Arabidopsis thaliana: one gene and its partner. The protein of the gene in region 2 binds, or shares a complex with, the protein of the main gene of each other region. Each region holds a gene or a part of one and is shown on either strand. Other genes may lie near its edges. A codon is read from its position in the direction of its gene.

What was found.
Region 1: the proteins of AT3G19020 (region 2) and RALFL4 are in contact, whole or in part, in a crystal structure (PDB 6QWN), measured with the Arabidopsis thaliana proteins. Residues at the interface, in NP_188532.2 of Arabidopsis thaliana: Phe109 (codon at 3,439), Cys110 (codon at 3,436), Ala111 (codon at 3,433), Pro112 (codon at 3,430), Leu114 (codon at 3,424), Val122 (codon at 3,400), Ala123 (codon at 3,397), Gly124 (codon at 3,394), Asp126 (codon at 3,388), Asn128 (codon at 3,382), His129 (codon at 3,379), Asp145 (codon at 3,331), Val146 (codon at 3,328), Ala147 (codon at 3,325), Leu148 (codon at 3,322), His150 (codon at 3,316), Asn152 (codon at 3,310), Ser153 (codon at 3,307), Leu169 (codon at 3,259), Tyr171 (codon at 3,253), Glu172 (codon at 3,250), Asp174 (codon at 3,244), Asn177 (codon at 3,235), Lys195 (codon at 3,181), Phe196 (codon at 3,178), Arg200 (codon at 3,166), Tyr201 (codon at 3,163), Asp218 (codon at 3,112), Ala219 (codon at 3,109), Phe221 (codon at 3,103); in NP_174148.1 of Arabidopsis thaliana: Tyr63 (codon at 1,378), Ile64 (codon at 1,375), Gly65 (codon at 1,372), Tyr66 (codon at 1,369), Ala68 (codon at 1,363), Leu69 (codon at 1,360), Lys70 (codon at 1,357), Lys71 (codon at 1,354), Asn72 (codon at 1,351), Asn73 (codon at 1,348), Val74 (codon at 1,345), Cys76 (codon at 1,339), Arg79 (codon at 1,330), Gly80 (codon at 1,327), Arg81 (codon at 1,324), Ser82 (codon at 1,321), Tyr83 (codon at 1,318), Tyr84 (codon at 1,315), Asn92 (codon at 1,291), Asn93 (codon at 1,288), Pro94 (codon at 1,285), Tyr95 (codon at 1,282), Arg97 (codon at 1,276), Ser100 (codon at 1,267), Ala101 (codon at 1,264), Ile102 (codon at 1,261), Thr103 (codon at 1,258).

What each region holds. Positions count from the first base shown.
Region 1 is NC_003070.9:9,881,101-9,884,728, reverse strand, and holds RALFL4 (ralf-like 4), read right to left. Parts: upstream 1,779-3,628; 5' UTR 1,565-1,778; coding exon 1,232-1,564; 3' UTR 540-1,231; downstream 1-539. UniProt on the Arabidopsis thaliana protein: Cell signaling peptide that may regulate plant stress, growth, and development.
Region 2 is NC_003074.8:6,558,282-6,564,179, forward strand, and holds AT3G19020 (Leucine-rich repeat (LRR) family protein), read right to left. Parts: upstream 4,097-5,898; 5' UTR 3,764-4,096; coding exon 893-3,763; 3' UTR 683-892; downstream 1-682. Other genes in the region: AT3G19030 (transcription initiation factor TFIID subunit 1b-like protein), read right to left, coding at 5,836-5,898. UniProt on the Arabidopsis thaliana protein: Modulates cell morphogenesis by regulating cell wall formation and assembly, and/or growth polarization.

The DNA of each region.
Region 1 (3,628 bases), on a different chromosome or scaffold from region 2:
CATAAATATTCTCCACTCTATAAGTTAGTTTAGTGTCGAAGTACTAAACTAGAAGTGACTATTAATGCCAGCCAACCAAATTATGTTGTCACCCATTTCAGTTCCAAATTATCATCCATGGACATTCTTAGTTATGAAACTCCTCGATTTATTTAGTTATAACTAAGAAGTTTAATTAAGGATGATTTGAGATCTTATACTGAACTCCAAAACACTTTTCCTAACCATGAAGGTGCGGGTGATTTGGGCTCGGACTTGGGCTTTTCCAATCCAAAATCAAGTTTCACTTTTAGTTTTCAGTATTTCAATATTATATTATACTTTTTGGTTTAGTTCACATGTTTCATTACACGTCATTCCGTCAAAAACTCGTGTTCTGATATGTAACTGTAGAAATAACGGACGGAGTAGAATTGATCTATCTCTAATAAAATATTCTGTACTGGCTTGAAAACATTGTGATGTGAAACATCAATCATGTGATCATATGATTGATCTAAGTCATAGTTTCATGTAGATACACCCCAAAACCTTCCTCTCGACTTGGAAATTTAAGCAAGAGACCTCAAATTATTTCTCATTTAATCCAAGGTACAGTGCGGCATTTTGTTGATAAAATAAGAAATTATTTTGATAGAATTGGGTTTAAATATCGGCTTCCAACCTAAAACCAATTGGCAATAGGTGGAGTGACCCTAACCCTTTATATATCACTTCATAATTCCTCCAACTTCCGATGTGGGACTTTCTTTCATTAACATATTTTCGATTTCTTATTCCGATCGGGTTGGATCCATCATTAACAATCTCAACTTAATCTGCAACGTTTGTTTCGAGATAAAATACAAAAGAAGATATAAAAGAAGAAATAGGTCTCATTTGATCCCTCGTCTTAAAACAAATTAATGCTTAATTGTAAAATACTAAAACATCATGATGTATATAATAGACAAAACGGAACTTAATTATATGAACGAAACGAAATAAAAAAGGACAACAACAAAGGAAAAGTAAGTGATATACCAATGAATCAAAAGCTTATATGCATCATGATGATTATATAAAGAACAAAAAAGAATATATAGATCATACGTATAACATAGGATACGTTAAGAAAGAATGAAAAAAAAAAAAGATGGAAGTAAGGAGAGGCAATTAATATTAACGATCAAGAAAGAAGAATGAAGATACGAACGTACGTTGTTGAATCAAATCTCTTCCTCTCTATCATTTAGCGAGCGTACCTATAGCAATGCGTGATGGCACTGCATCCACGCCTGTAAGGATTATTCCTTCTTCTCTTCTTGCAATCGTAGTAGGATCGGCCACGTCTACTGCAAGGCACATTGTTCTTTTTGAGAGCATCGTAGCCAATGTAACGACGTCCTCTTGCGAGTTGACGACGGTTTGTCTCTGAATCCATTAGAGATTCGAGCTCATCGTCTTCCCCGATGCAACCTTGCCCGTTGATGCAAGATTTGGTTAAAGGGTAGGTTGCATTGACGGATTTAGCTACCATAGCTAAGATCAAGAGACCAAAGATTAATAACATTTTGACACCCATTTTGTTTTTTTTTGGTTTTGGTTTTTTAATGAGTTATTATTGCTCTTTTGTTTAGGTTTTGGTTCTTCTACGCCCTTTCCTTGTGACAAGGAGAGGGAGAAATAGAAGTGTGTGAGAGATTATGCAGAAGAACAAATGAGAGATTGGTTTTGTTGGATTAAAAAAAGGCTTAAGACAGTTGCGATTTTTTGCTTGTTATTATTTTGTGGTCGTTAATTCTGTTACTTTGAAATTGGGGTTTTAACCTCTTTTTTAGGTCTATTTTCTCCATTTCTTCCGCTTGGTGGTTAGATCTAAATTTGTTACAAGTTATTTCTGGCTCTGCTTTTTGATCGGCTAACTTATTATTTTTTTCTTCTGAAAAATATTAAAATGCTCAATTTTAGCATGTAAAAGTCTATTATCAGTTTTGTAACCAATTTCAAAAGAACTTAGGAGTGAGTAGTATAACAGCATGATCCAACCTTACACATTTCATGCTGAAAATGTTTTATTACATCCTAAAAAATTAGACTGAATTTTGTAATACTATTATAGTTACTGTATTTTTTGTTTGTTAGTACTATTTTATTAGGGGAAAATGAGAGATTTCATTAAATCACAAAACAATATTAGAAAAAAAGAAAGTTAATACAACATTTAATTTAAAACAAAGAAAATAGTTAAAGATGGCGCCGGTGAAGTAGTATTACAACACAGTGACATAAACTACATTAGCACATCCCACGTTAACCACAGTATAAAGATTAGGTGTGGTGTTTCAAGATATATTTACAAATATATTCATGATAGGCCTCGAGGACGATAGACTATGTTCTCATCACCAGTTACCTCTCGTTTTACTCTTTTAGATTTTTATCTGTTTTACGTATGGAGGTGACTAGAGAGTTTTCAGAAGAAATATGCAGAAGATGATGGCTTCTTTTAAAATCTCATTATTTTTGGATGCTATTGATATTATATCCAAACTCATCAAATGTTTAATTTGAGTGGACAAAATAAACAACATCCGGATAAGAAAACGAACATTCACCAAAGAAATAAAAACAACAATTTCACACGTTTATGTGGAAATCTTTGCATGAGCTCCAATGTCTGACTCTTAGCTTAAAAAACTCAACAAAACACTCAATATGTGTACTAACCTAATTTAGGAGCTACTTCTAAGGCATAACGAATGAAAATTTCTGGCCCAACGTAATTTAGTGTTGACCCTTTGCAATAACTTTTTTTTTCTTTTGGCGTGGCCTTTTACAAATCTTTTTTTTTTTGTTTACAAATCTTTGGTTATTGATATGTAAATGGTTTTTGTAAGTTGTAAAAAAGTCTTTGTATATTGATATGTTAATTTACACCCATTACGAGGATATGATAGAGTATTACTTGGCAGTTATTAATCAATATTCAATCATATAGTTGAAAACATTCTGCAAGATATTAATAAACATATGTTTCTTTCAATGTAAATTAAACAGTGTACTTTCAATTTTTAATAAAAGTCATACTAACTGGTGTAATTTAAACATTGTTTTTTTTTGTTTTTTCTTCAAAATATACTTATATGTGATTCATATTCGATAACACTATATTTATATATAAACTTAGGACCACATTTTTAAATTTTGACAAAAAAGGGACCACATTTTTAATCTCATTTAGTTATGTGTCAAGCGAGGTAACATATATACTGATTGTCAATTGGTTCACATAGTATAAAATCAGATTATTGATCCAAAATAGAGAATGATGCGGATTTAAGATTAAATTCAATTCGAAATAGACTAGACAATATAATTCACCGAAAAAACCATGGAAAATGTTAATAATTTCACTATTTTGAATTCAAATGGGATATGAACCAATATATAAATGATACATACATATCAATATATTTACTACCAGTTAATTTTAAAATTATAAGTACATCATCTTTATAAAAAAAACAGTCAAACCATTTATAATCTCATTTAAGAACTCCATTATTGAATGTACAATAATGCGATGTAGTACTCCATAAAATGCCATGAAGAGCAAAGACGAGAGCTGCAGTTAGTAAAACAGTGT
Region 2 (5,898 bases):
CTAAATCAATATTGAAAGTTGAACTAAATCATCAATATTTGTTTATTAGCTGAACACTATTCTTATTTTAATCTTGAACATAGATGGAGTTTAGCTATTACCTATTACTGTACTTCTATTCCAAACTAAGGAATCGTTTTGGATATTAACCTATTTGACCATGATATTAAGTATTAACAAACGATTTGGTTACTTGACCATGATATGAACAAACGATTTGGTTAACTAGTCGGAAAATATTTTAAGCTTAGGTTAAAGTAGTCCAACATCTAAGTATTGATGTTAGTCTACATAGTAGCATTTTGGTACCTTTTTCAGAGGATTGTTCCGATCAGCCCATCGGGCAAAGAAAATATCTATTCGAAGATGGTGATTGATGAGTCGAAATATTGAAAGTTGAAAATGTGATAGTTGCCAATAAAGACCAGAAATAAAAGTATAGGTTTTTGCTTAAGGAAAACGAAAAATAAATCAACGATCTAAGTCACGTTGACGTTGACCACTAAATAAACTAAAATATTTCAATTCTCAATTAAGGATTTTTCTAAGATGTCAAAATAAAGTTGAAAATTTCTGTTGATATTAAAAACAGTGCGAAAATATGAATGGATATTTATACTTTGAACATTGAACAATTTTTTTTTTATTTTTGTAAAAGACAATTTTTGAGAGAAGTAGACACAAAGAATGTGATGAATTTACACTATAAAAGTATAAAACTTAGAATTACAGATATGTTAATGGTTAATTTTGAAAATATTCACTTCTAAAAATCATCTACTTACAGATTACAAATGGTCAAATTATAAATGTATCTTTTTTTTTGTTTGTTACAAATTGCGTTAACCGGAAAAATGTTGGACCAAAATGTAAAATATTAAAAATGTATGGTTCAGTAGCCTGGGAACATCGGTGGTGGTGGCGATGCATATTGGTGTCCAATGTTTGGTGGGAGGATGAAATTATCGCCGTCGTCGTTGTCTTCCGATGGTGGTGCAGTTACATCTGGTGATGGATTTGAAGATGGCGGTGATGACGAAGGGGTGGCTTCTGATTGTTTTGGTGCTTCAACTTCTGGTTCGCTTGATGGTACTGGTGCTTCAACTTCTGGCTCGGAATCTGGTGATGGAGCTGGACTTGATTTGAACACTGGTGAATGATTTGAATCTGATGGTGCTTCGATGTCCTCAGAGTCTGGGGTCGGAGCTTGAACCGGTGTTGAGATTTCTCCTGATTCTGATGATGAAGGTGTTGGAGCGTTTGCCATTGGCGATGTTGCTGGTGGTAGAGGCGTTACAGGTTTCGGTGGCGGTGAGAAAACTGGAGGAGGAGGAGAGTAGATAGGTGACGGAGGTGGTGGAGAGTGGACTGGTGGTGGTGGAGAATGGACTGGAGGCGGCGGGGAGTGAACTGGAGGAGGCGGTGAGTGAACAGGAGGAGGTGGTGAGTGGACTGGTGGCGGTGGTGGAGAGTGGACCGGTGGAGGCGGGGAGTGGACTGGTGGAGGAGGAGGTGAGTAGATTGGTGCAGGCGGTGGTGGAGAGAAAACTGGTGGTGGTGGAGGTGACTGGACCGGTGGAGGAGGAGAGTGGACTGGTGGAGGAGGAGAGTGGACTGGTGGTGGTGGTGAATGGACCGGTGGAGGAGGAGAATGGACTGGTGGTGGTGGTGAATGTACTGGTGGTGGAGGAGAGTGGACTGGTGGTGGTGGAGGAGAGTGTACTGGAGGTGGTGGTGAGTAAACCGGTGGTGGAGGAGAATGCATCGGAGGAGGAGGTGAAAATACAGGCGGCGGTGGGGAATGAACCGGTGGTGGTGGTGGTGGAGAGTGTACTGGAGGAGATTGTGGCGACGTTGTCTTTGTCTCTTCTGTCGAGGGTGATGGTGGTTGAGGACGACGTTTTTTAATCGGAGATGCATCGTAAGGATCATTTGGTACCGGTGATTCCAATGGAGGCGACCCCATTTTTGGTGCCTCTGTCTTTGGTGGTTGTTCTTGCTTTGGTGGTTGAGGCTTAGGTGACTCCTCTGGTTTTGGGGTCTCTTGCTTTGGTGGTTGAGGCTTAGGTGACTCCTCTGGTTTTGGTGTCTCTTGCTTTGGTGGTTGAGGCTTAGGTGACTCCTCTGGTTTTGGTGTCTCTTGCTTTGGTGGTTGAGGCTTAGGTGACTCCTCTGGTTTTGGAGGTTCCGGTTTAGGAGATTCTTCTGGTTTTGGTGGCTCTTGCTTAGACGACTCTTGTTTTGGTGACTCAGGCTTAGGTTTTGGCTGTTCTGGTTTTGGTGCCTCTTGCTTAGGCGACTCTTGTTTTGGTGACTCAGGCTTAGGTTTTGGCTGTTCCGTTTTTGGAGATTCCTGTTTTGGTGACTCTGGCTTAGGTTCCTTTGGGTTAGAAGGCTCATGTGATGGTGTCTCAGGCTTTGGACTAGGCTGTTGTGGTTTGGGAGATTCTTCTGGTTTTGGCTTAGATGGCTCTTCTAAGTTTGGTGGGTTTATTTCTTTCTTAGGCTCCGGTGCCTTTGGTGTTGGTGTTGGTTTTGGTGATGGGTTTGAACCACCGCCACCTCCACCGGCACACTTGTCTTTACTGCAATCCACAGGACGGCTAACCACCGGCAAACATTCTTTAGCCGACTTCTGGTTTGGTCTGTTCTGTAAGCAATTGCTCGTGTCATCAAACTGTTTCTCTTGGCTCGATCCAGGCACACAACTTTGAGCTTCTCCATTGAAGAAATTGTAAGAAAATGTGAAGTTTGACAATTTGGGCAACTTGCAGATATTGTCTGTGACAAATCCGGTGAACTTATTGTACGAGAAATCCATTTGTTCCACGTTGGCTAAGCCCGACAAGGTCGATGGCAAACTTCCGACGAACCCATTGCTGCTAGCATCAAACACAGTCACATTGTTCAACGAACCGATTTCGTTCGGTAAGCAACCACTTAGGTTGTTCCCAATAAACACAATCTCGTTGAGGTTCTTCATCTGGCCAATGGTTTTTGGGATGCAACCGCTAAATTTATTGTGTGCGAAGGTTACAACGGAAGCTGTTGATTTACCAATTGTCTCGGGGATGGTCGACTCAAATCTATTGTTGTTCAAGAAGATGGCGTCGAGATCTTTATCAAAGATCTCTGGTGGTAGTTTCCCTTCAAAATCATTGTATCTTATGTCAAGGAATTTCAAAGACGGCCAAGAAAGAGCAACTGTCGGAAACGGACCAACGAAACGGTTATTGCTGACGTCGAATTCATACATTAACGTTAGCTTCGAAAGACTTTTCGGAATAACTCCGCAAAACCTGTTGGAATTAACGTGAAACAAGGCGACATCGGTCAATAAACCTAGCTCAGGCGGCAAGTATCCGGCTATATCCGCATGGTTAAGGTCAATCCCCGCCACAACCAATACGCTTGGGTCGTCAAGTGCTGGTGCACAGAAAACTCCTTTGTAAGAACACACGTCTGGACCAACCCAATTAGCCGCAGTGTTGAACGGATCAGAGTAGAATGCCTTTTTCCAAGCTTGAAGGGCAATGTAAGCCCTTTTAAGTCTGTTATTAGCAAATTTGAGGTCTAAATCGACTTCGTACTCGATGTCGTCGGGAAGATCTCCGTTTTCTGATAATGCCAAAAGTTGGCGTCTTGTAAGAAAAGAAGCTTCCTCATCGGTGAGAGCCGCTGCGGAATAGAAAAAAATGGAGATGGTGAAACAAAAGAGGAGAAGGAAGCAGCCAAAAGGCTTCTCCATTGTTCTTCGGGTCATGGTGATGAAAAAACTTGGAAATGGCTCTATGGCTTGCTTAATAGATGAATGTTGTGGAGAGGAAGCCTATAATGAAACGAAGGCAAACAGAAACCATTGGATTGTTTTGCTATTTTTGGTATAACAAAATTTATATAGACTAACGTTTAAAGGGTACGAAAATAGCAAACTATTGTAGCTAATTTAGAATTAGAGGTCGTTGACAACGTCTTTACAAGTTTAGTTTAGTTTTACCATTGTTGAAATTTGGACGACCAATATTTTTTACAGTCTGGAAAAAAAAAGTAAAAACTCTTTTGCTTAGTGTTGTGATTTGTGAATATTTCAAATTTTATTTGACGTTTGCGTTTTGAACTCTTTGGGAAAACAGTGAAACAAATTAAAACGTTTTCTTGTAAAATTGCTGATACTGTAGGCTATATTTATTGTTGAAAATTTTAATTTTTGTTAAGAAAAAAGACTTTCTTAGTAGTATAGTATTTGAAGAAAATTTTCAAAGGATTAAATTAAGAAAATGATTCCAACTAGTATATCTGTTTTTATAATCACTTTTAAGAATGATCAAATAATGTTTTTGTGATATTAACTGTTCAATATGTCAACACCTCGTTATTTAGTTTCTACTATATAATTGTTTTGAACATTCGTTCATCACAAGCTCGCAATAAAGTGAAAAGAAAAAATGGTGAGCAAAACAAATAGTTACTTAACCTCAATTCTTGTTATATTGATCAGCCGATACTACCGTCCTATCTCCGCCACGCCACAACCCGCAACATGGCCGGGCCCATTTTGTGATGGTTCATGGAGCTTGGTTTTTGGTATAAACTATACCATTCTTGAAATCTCAAGGCCATAACGTAACTGCGGTCAACTTAGCGGCATCCAGAATCGATCAATAACGGCCTGAGACTCTACGGTTGGTTGCGGAGTCTATTGGGCCCTTGATGGGCCTAATGGAGAGTCTAGGTGAGGATGAGAAGGTGATTCTTCTGGCACATAGTTTGAGTGGGGCTTGCTATTCCTAAGGCCATGGAGTTGTTCTACAAAAAGGTTCATATGGCTATTTTCGTTATTGGTGAAAGAGTTTCAGCACTGGATGATCAAGAACAACCCTCCTAACCACGTGGAGCATATCCAGAATTCTGATCATATGGTCACGATTTCAAGGCCGTTAGATCTTGGTGCCTGTATTTTTTCTTTGGCTAAGAAGTTTGCTTGAAAAATATTGATTTTCAACATTTTGTTAGTGACACAATAAAAAAGTCAACATTTTGTTATATAAGAATGTACGAAAGAAAACATGGTTTGTAAGGCCTAAGCTGTTTTCCAAGTTTTTTTTTATATGGTTGATCATTGATCAATTCCATTCATATGTTTCACGAGCCACACTTTTTATACGTCTATTACTTTGCCATATGTTTGACTTTTCAACTTCAGCTAATCCTAGTAGATTGTTTCACAAAACTAATCAAACTACAAAACTTAGTTGACCACTTTAATTAGCATGAGGTTATGGACCCTGAGAAGATTTAAATGAAAGCGATTCCAGTTTAGATTCGATGATTTTTTTGTTTTTTTTTCATCTGAGACCTGAATTCGTTTCAAGAACATCAAATCCAGTTCTAAGAGTTTAACACATATATATATATTTTTTTAAGAAACCAATTAACTTACTTCACACCTCATGACCTCAAGATGATTTATGAGTATAATTGTTTCTCCATAAAAAGTGCTTATTTCTTTTCGTCTATAACTTTTTTGCTAAAATCGTCTATAACTTTGATTATGTTTTCCAATCTTACGTACCTTGCAAAGAATGGACATGTTTTGAAGTTGCAAACCGTTCAAATCTGTGATTAATTTGTTCAATAGATCTTAAAGAAAATTAAAAGCAGTTAATACACAAGAATTATATAAACGTCCACGGTTTTGATTCATCTGTAAACTCTTCATTATGTTTTGGTTATACTTTATACACAAATAAACAATATCCAAAACGCCACAAGGCACGGGAACTACTAACTTTAATGAGGCCAAAACCAAAAAAAAATAAAAAACTAAGAAGCTCATCACATGAATCCAACAAGAGGAATGGGAACGGCGGCGTAATTATTCCGGCGACCACCGTGAAC